Linked DNA regions of Tribolium castaneum. The protein of the gene in region 1 binds, or shares a complex with, the protein of each later gene. Links are inferred from orthologs where the notes say so. Each region holds a gene or a part of one and is shown on either strand. Other genes may lie near its edges.

Region 1 (3,692 bases):
ACTCTCCTTCTTATCTTTCTCTTTCTTATCCCTTTCCTTCGACTTCCTATCCCTCTCCTTTGACTTGCGATCCTTATCCCGTTTCCTATCTTTCGACCTATCCCGAGTCTTAGATTTGGCCCTTGGCCTACTGCGACCCTTCGATTTCGACCTTGACCGGCGTTCGCGCGACCTTGAACGCCTCGTACGTGAAACCGAACGTTTCCGAGAGCGAGACTTCGAGCGTTTACGCCGGTCACGTGATCGTGAACGGCGTGAACGTGACGTTGAACGGCGACGACGTGAACGTGAACCACGCGAGAGTGACCTTGAGCGTGAGCGGCGTCTACGCCCTCTAGATCTTGAGCGGGAACGTCGCGAGCTCCTTTTATCTTTAGTTAGCATTCCGATAACTGGCTCAATCGAGGCATTGATCATGTTTTGAGCCTCTTTAAAGCGAGACATTGCTTCTTCAATTTCCTTCTGAGCGGCTTCGTTACTTTTGGCTTGGGGCTTCATGATTGGTTGAGTGGCGTGAATGATTTCCAGCGGCTTGCCTTTGAACTCTTCACCGTTCATTTTCATGGCGTTCACGACGCTTGGCTGTTCCGTGAATTCGATCAAAATGTGCGTGGTGTTGTCGTTGGGGCACTCACACACTCTCAAATACTTCACTTCACCGGCTTGTGAAAAATACTGGATTATCTCATCTGTGGGTATGGCGGGGTCAATATTGACCACTTGGACCGTTCGACGAGTCTCCTCGACTTTGATCGAGTCGTATTTGGCCGGCAAAGGGGGATAGGGGGCGCAGCCATTGTCAGTCAAATGGGGGTCATTTGTGACAACAACGCGTTCCTCGCCTGTGCCTTGGAACGAATTGGAGACATGTGGGGGCAACTTTGGCTCGTTTACGTTAAACCCGGGGACAATGGTCCCGTTACGGGTCATCTCCAGAGCGTAGTACTCGTCGGGGATGTCCCCGTTGATCACAGGGATGACAATTAGGGCCCGGTCGATGAAAACAGTGTTTGTCATGTGTTGGGCTACACCTACCGTGCTGGAATCCACGAATTTAACGTAACAAATCCGGGACTGGACAGGACAGGAGACGTCTCGAATCGTGGGGTACAGGCGAATGTCTTCGATTTTACCCAAGTAGCCGAACAGCGTCTGCATCTGGTCCTTGGTGGCCTGGGGGGCTATGTTGGTCACCTGGACCACCTTAGTGTTACCCACGACCATTTTCACGCACTATTTTAACATTTTCCAACGAGTTTAAAAAACGTAAAACGACGCACATTGACAAGTCAAATGACAGCAAGTGTCGCCAACTATTGTTCAATGATGAAAAACGCGGTGAAAAAGCAATTTATGGCCAATCGTCCTAATTAAAACTTTTTATGACTGTCCCAAAAGGATAATTTCAAATTATTTAAAATCTTTGGCGTTAAATAGCCTGTAAAACTTGCACTTTGGTTGTAATTTGGTGCCTTAATTGTGTGCCGGTTGGCAGGCGTAGTTGGTTTCTGTCAAGGGTGAGATGGGTGTTCGAGGGCTATTTTCGCTCGTGAATTGTTCAACTTCGCCTGATTTCGCTGACTTTTCATCTTGCAAGAGACATAAAAAGCCGAAACGTATTGTTTGATACATCTACAAATCGGTGTACTTGTGGAAGCTTCGAGAAAAGATAGTGTTTGGTTTGGTGACACTTTGACAGTGTCATCTGGCGGTTTCTGGTGCAGTTGCACGTTATTCAGCACACGTGAATTTCGAGGTTGAGGTCGTTTTGTGCTAATTTCGGCCGTATTTTCGCCAATATGGAATCGTGGGGTAAAAATTTAGTCAATTCTTTCACTACTTGAGCGAAAATTTGACATGGGGCTGTTTCAGACGACGATAACTTCGAACCTCCATCTGTTACACCTGTGGTTGCGTCCAACAAATGGGAAGGCGAGGACGAAGACGACAACGTCAAGGTAAAATGAGTGAATTCCTGCCAAAAATTTACCATTTTCCTGCAGGAAAGCTGGGAGGATGAGGAGGAGGAGAAGGTGGAAGCGGCGCCTGCCGAGGAGGCCAAACCCAAGCCCAAGAAGCAGTCAATCGCTGACAAAATCGCAGAGAAAGAAGTGGGTATCGCAATAGTTGTGACAAATCTAATTTCTCCTTATTCAGAGAAAGAGGAAGGAAGAAATGGAGCGGAGGCTGAGGGAGCAACAGGAGGAGGAAATCTCCCCGGAGGAGAAGCTCAGGATGCAGAAGGAATCGGACTTGAAAATAGCGCTAGAAACGACGTTTGGGGGCGACACCAATAGCACAAACATTTCAGGTTTAGACGGACTCACGCTGCCAACTACTAAAGAAGAGTTTCAGGACTTTACAGACGCTCTCTCTAAGAAGCTCCAACCTCTAGCTAAAAGCACAGAGTATCCGGTGTTCACCGAAAACTTACTACGAAATCTGTGTGCCACTTGTACGTCTCTCGTTTTAATTTAAAACAGCGTTAATGATGAATGTTCTTGCAGTGTCCTCATTAGATATTAAGAAAATTAAAAATACGTTAGATAATTTATACCTAGAGAAACAAAAAATCGAGAAAGGCGAGAAATCGAAGAAAAACAAAGGCAAAGGCAAGGCTAAATTACGACTGGATGATGGAAATGTAAGTTGTGGTTTTACAAGTGTTTGGGTTAATTTTTTTTGCAGCCTTTGTCAGCGTATGTTAACGACTATGACGATTACGACGACTTTATGTAGCAGATTGCAGCGGTTTAGATAGGGTTTTAATTTTTAAATAAATATCTTCGATAAATATAAATATTGTTAAATTATACGGTATTTTTAAAAAGGTGTAGTGTAATGATCATGCAATATGGTTAATAATTTTTACTTTTTTTTCACCGTTTTGTGTTTTTCTATACTAATGTAACGAGTCATTATTAATTAATGAGTTGCTGGTTTTTGTTGCTACTGATATAGAAGTTGTATTTTAAGGCGATTATTGTATGGATTTGCATACAAGTTGTATTCAATGGATTTGATGCAATTATTGTTAATATCAATATAATTTTTCAAAAAAATGATTGCGTTTTATTTAAAAAAGAATCAAGTGTCTTAGACACAGAGTTGCCACACGCACGCAATTTAAATCCCGTCTACGCCGTTCTGACGTGTAATTATTACACATTTATGCTGAAATTTATTATAGAACAAGTGGACCCCGCTTCTATAAACTTTTTGAGACCATAATCTATTTTAATGTTGAATATTTAAGTACCGTTGTTGGTATTCCTGTCCGAGTTTCATCACAATATTTGTTGTAAAAATGGCAAAATTGGTGCTTACCTCCACGATGACACTATGTAAACACTGATTCATTAGACTTTTCCCGATTTTAAACACTTTTTAAAACTAAACACAAACACCATGTTAACTTTTTTGTCATAAAAAGCAAGCGTCTTTAGACTCAGGGCTGCCACCATGCCACACACACTTGATTAGAATCCCGCCTTTGTAATTACTCGAAATTCCACTAAAATTAATTACACAACAAACAAAAACTGTCTTGGGACACATTTAACATGACTTTAGTCATTTAATACGGATTTAAAATATTTAGTGACAATCTTTTGGTGTTCTAGTTAGTGGCGTGGCAGCACTGTCGCTCCGAAAATTCAAACTTGAGACAAGTGTGACAAAATCCCAATTTG
Region 2 (4,308 bases), on another chromosome or scaffold:
AGCGCCATCTATTAGTTGCTGCTGAAAAATTCACTTGGTGTCAAAGGTGACAGCCGTCATATTTTTTACAAATTTAAGTTTTCAACCTCTTTTGCACAAGATTTATACAAAATTTTGCCAACAGGAAGGCAAGACAAAGCTTAGTTTCATTTTTTTTCCACAAGTTTTAATCAAAATTTGAAATGCAAAGCATTTCGACACTAATGGGTACATTTTGTACAGTTGGTTGCAAATGCGTTCCAACACTCTTTTGATCATTTTCGTGAGCATAAAAATGTTTGTTTACCATTCGGCAAAATGTTCAAGTTTGTATGACGCTTTTTACGTTCGTTTTGTGTTTCGCAGTTCGCTCTTGGCATAGGCTCTTGGTCACTCACATGGCAACATGCGCTTTTGGTTCCTCACAGTAAAAACACGTGCCAAATGTTTGTAGAATACGTTTTCTACAACTATACAGCTAATACTAATGCGTTTTGCCTTAGAAATCTTCTGCACTGACAGCAGTGTGACAACACTTAACCTTAGAACTGTCAGAATTGTTTTACTTTATAGTGGCTCCCTCTCAGAAACAAAAATATGCCATGGAACTAAGCAATGCGGCCAGCCGTGTGAAGGGAAAGTTCCTTCATTAATCAAGGAAGCTGTGCTCACTGAAATAGGATTTACTGATGATGCGGATAGATGGCCTTAGTGTTTTACGGGAAAAAGAAATCCTATTGGCGGATTTAAAATTTCATATTACTGAAGAAAAACGTGGTACCGATGCGCGGCTGACAAGTAAAAATTTCACAAACGTCAGCAAAATTTGAGTTTATTTTTTATATCACGTTAATTTTTCAAAGTTTTATTAAGATAGTGGTTCAAGGTGTCGTGTTTGGGTTAGACTATTGCCTACTATCGGTTAGGAACAACATGATCTCCAAGAATATAACGTAGTAATGAGCTCCAGAAGGTTTTCATTGATAGGTGCGTTTTTTCCAAAAGTGAGTTTTTTGAGAGCGAACCGCAAGTGAGTCACACTGTGAGGAGATTCCCATAGACAGAAGTTGCTAACATAAGGTGCCAGTTTGGCTGATTGCAAGTATGTCTTTATCATCGATGCGGTGACGACTATTAGTTTTGTAAACTTAATGGATTTAATAAATATCTTTAATATTAAATGTGTTTAGATCGTGTCATGTTGGGTAAAATTCTTCTATTTGTGCTGTTTGTGCATCCACCTTTTCAAATACAATTAGAAAATTTTCATAATAATTGTATTTGATAAGGTTTTGACATCATTTTGACGTGAGCAAAAATTTAAAAAATACAAAGTAATCGGGATTATTTAATTCGCGCCATTTTTAGTACGTGATGATGCGGCTAGATGGCTCCAGCTAGGAATTCATTGCCAACCATTATGTTCCGCTTCTATAAAAGTGTTATTCTAGGGTGCCGCCATATGTGTCACATTTTATAAAATCTTGTTAGTTTTTGCATAAAAACGGTATAAAATGGCCCAATTTGATTTAACTTCCCGCATGGGGCAATATTTGGATCGGCACTTGGTGTTTCCATTGTTGGAATTTTTGTCGGCTAAAGAGGTACAGTTTTTGAGGTTATGTTCATTCGGTTGATTCCGAATTTCGTAGATTTACGATGAAACGGAATTGCTTAAAGCCAAATTAGATATTTTGAGCAAGACCAACATGATCGATTATGCTATTGACATCCGAAAGCAGCTGTATCCAAATGAAGAAGTTCCTGAAGATCTGAAGCAAAGGCGTCAACACGTTGTAGCTCAGTTACAGGAGCTTCAACAGGAAGTGCAACCAATTTTGAAGATTATGGCCGACGATGAGGTCATGAAGAATATGGAAAACATGAGGGATTCGAAAACTTTGATTAATTTCCTTTCAAAGGATTACAAAGTAAATACAATGTGTTCAAAAATGGTTGTTCACCCAGTCGACTATGGAAGTCAAAAACAATGTTCCGCTTCGTTCAAATCATTATTGTAGTGTTTGAATACTCTCATCTCTGTCAAATCTTAGCTTTTTACTCACTTTTTTGCATTTCTCAAGTGTGGGGTTTGCCGTCATTTGTGTTTTACATCTCGGTGAAATTTGTTGTGTACTCTTTCGTTTTTAGATTTGAAGTTTTTTTGCATTAATTTGACGGTTTTGTCGCTTTTGACGGCATTCACAATTTAAATTAAGTGGCACATTACGTTCAAATTTCATAAGTGACTTGCAATGAACAATCATTTCTGAATAGTGTGTTTGGACGAATACATTTTTGCAAAGAAAATGCACGTCAAGCTAATGAATGTTTATTTTAAAAAAAGAAGGATAAATTGAAGAAATACCTTTATTTGTAACTTATGACCTACTTAAACACTACTTTAAAACACTATATTTAACATGAAATTAAAACAAAGAAAAATAGGAATGATATTTGACAATTAATTGTTTGAACAAAAAAAAGATAGATTTTTTTGTAATTTCAATCTTTATTGGCTTCAATGACGACTCAACTTAGCGCTGGCATACTTTTAACGAATCCCTTACAAAATTCTGGCGTTTTATTGTTCCAAATATGTTCTATTTTATTTTTTAAATCTTTCAACAACTATTGAGGAAGATTTGTAGGATACCTTTTTACTTTGTGCCAAAAAGACTCAATGATATTTAAATCAGAGCTGTTTGCTAGCCACTCAATAAACTGACGTGGAAGTGTTATTGATGTTAACGAAAATATTTAATATAATGTTTTAATTTTTCTGATATGATATTAGTTAAGCAAATAATAATAATAGGTATTTATAAAATACAAAATATAAAAACTTGATTAATCGAAATTTAATTAATTCTGCAGTGTCTTTCTGGATCAACGGCGTATAATGCTATAAGCAAAAAATTCTTAAGAAAAATTTTTACGAACTTTTTGCACAAAACATTTAAGTATTTCAGGTGTTCTAAAATAACATAAGAAATAATAACTTTTGCAGCGTTTTAATATCATGTAATTTGATTGCGATTTTATGCAATTAATGAATTAGTAATTGTTAAAAAAAATAAAAAAACAATAAACTGCCAAGGAAGTTTTATTGATGTTACGAAAATATTTAATATTCAAAAAAATTATTTAATTCTACTAGTATTAGAAGTTGTTACCATTTAATTAATAAAATAAAAAAAAACTGTGGGTCGGTCTACAGACAGCGAAATTAAAATTTAATTCCGAATTAGACTAATTCGAGTTTAAGTTGTCATTTAAAATGCATTGGCAAATGTCAAGTTAATCACTAATAAAAATTTTATTGTAATTGAAATATTCTGTAAACTTCTTTGTTTAATTTAATTTCGCAGTTGGCAAGTAAGGTATAATCCTGCTTTTTCCGTAAATTTGTGCTAATGCGAGAAGGGTTAGCTGGTTTGATCTTCCGGTGATTTCCGGGGCAAATTGTTCAGTCAGTTACAGAATTTGTTATCACTTATAATGCAACAAAAATTAATGAAAACTTAAAAGCAATTAAAGAATGTTGGCATATTAATTAGTCACACAAAAATCAGTGTTTTCTATTAAATACTTAATTTTTTTCTCAAAGATTTTTTTTTATTTTTTTTTACATTTCCTTAAATAAACATGAATTACTAAAAATTATGTTAATAAAATTGAAAATATTATTCCGTGTAATTAATTAATTATTAATTTTATAATTTCAATAGTGTCTTTTAAATGAATGATATTTTAAGCAAAAAATTCTTAATAAAATTGTTGCTAACCTCAAAATTTCGATTTATTAAATTTTAATATTTTATACAATGTGTTTTTAAATGATTCTCATCCAGTTAACTTTGAAATTGGTTTACATGTAAAAAATTGTGCCGCTTTGCTCAATTGAATCCTCTGTTAATAAATGTAAAGTCTGTCAGTTGGCAAATTCATTTAATTTGTTTTAAAAACTTCGTTAAAATGTAACTAAATTATTATACCGTGCAAGAAAACACTTTTATTTTTTAAGCTTACTTTATATTTGGAGCCTTAATAAATGGAGAATGGTAATATTCGATGTCTAAATGCCTATCATTATTTATATGAAGCGGTATTTTCTGATTTTACTGTAGAAATTCACAGACGACTAGATGAGAATTATTTAAAAACACATTGTATTATTTATTAATATTTATTTTATTTTTTAATTAATTAAGGGCCAGTTTTATAATCGAATTTAAAGGAGCATTAAATTAAATGTTTAGAATGTGAAATGTCCACAAATCCATAGTAACCAGCACATTATAAACAACTTTTAGTTGAATGCTCCTT

The links.
Region 2: eIF3j (region 1) and eIF3e share a complex: the UniProt entries of both Drosophila melanogaster proteins name them as parts of the eukaryotic translation initiation factor 3 (eIF-3) complex. The link is inferred for Tribolium castaneum from reciprocal best matches to the Drosophila melanogaster genes eIF3j and eIF3e.

The regions. Positions count from the first base shown.
Region 1 is NC_087396.1:21,286,891-21,290,582, reverse strand, and holds eIF3j (eukaryotic translation initiation factor 3 subunit J), read left to right. Parts: upstream 1-1,484; 5' UTR 1,485-1,799; coding exon 1,800-1,812; intron 1,813-1,872; coding exon 1,873-1,958; intron 1,959-2,003; coding exon 2,004-2,111; intron 2,112-2,157; coding exon 2,158-2,455; intron 2,456-2,507; coding exon 2,508-2,644; intron 2,645-2,688; coding exon 2,689-2,739; 3' UTR 2,740-2,983; downstream 2,984-3,692. Other genes in the region: Srp54 (probable splicing factor, arginine/serine-rich 7), read right to left, coding at 1-1,224. UniProt on the Drosophila melanogaster protein: Component of the eukaryotic translation initiation factor 3 (eIF-3) complex, which is involved in protein synthesis of a specialized repertoire of mRNAs and, together with other initiation factors, stimulates binding of mRNA and methionyl-tRNAi to the 40S ribosome.
Region 2 is NC_087394.1:22,552,328-22,556,635, forward strand, and holds the start of eIF3e (eukaryotic translation initiation factor 3 subunit E), read left to right. Parts: upstream 1-1,405; 5' UTR 1,406-1,493; coding exon 1,494-1,583; intron 1,584-1,631; coding exon 1,632-1,910; intron 1,911-4,308. UniProt on the Drosophila melanogaster protein: Component of the eukaryotic translation initiation factor 3 (eIF-3) complex, which is involved in protein synthesis of a specialized repertoire of mRNAs and, together with other initiation factors, stimulates binding of mRNA and methionyl-tRNAi to the 40S ribosome.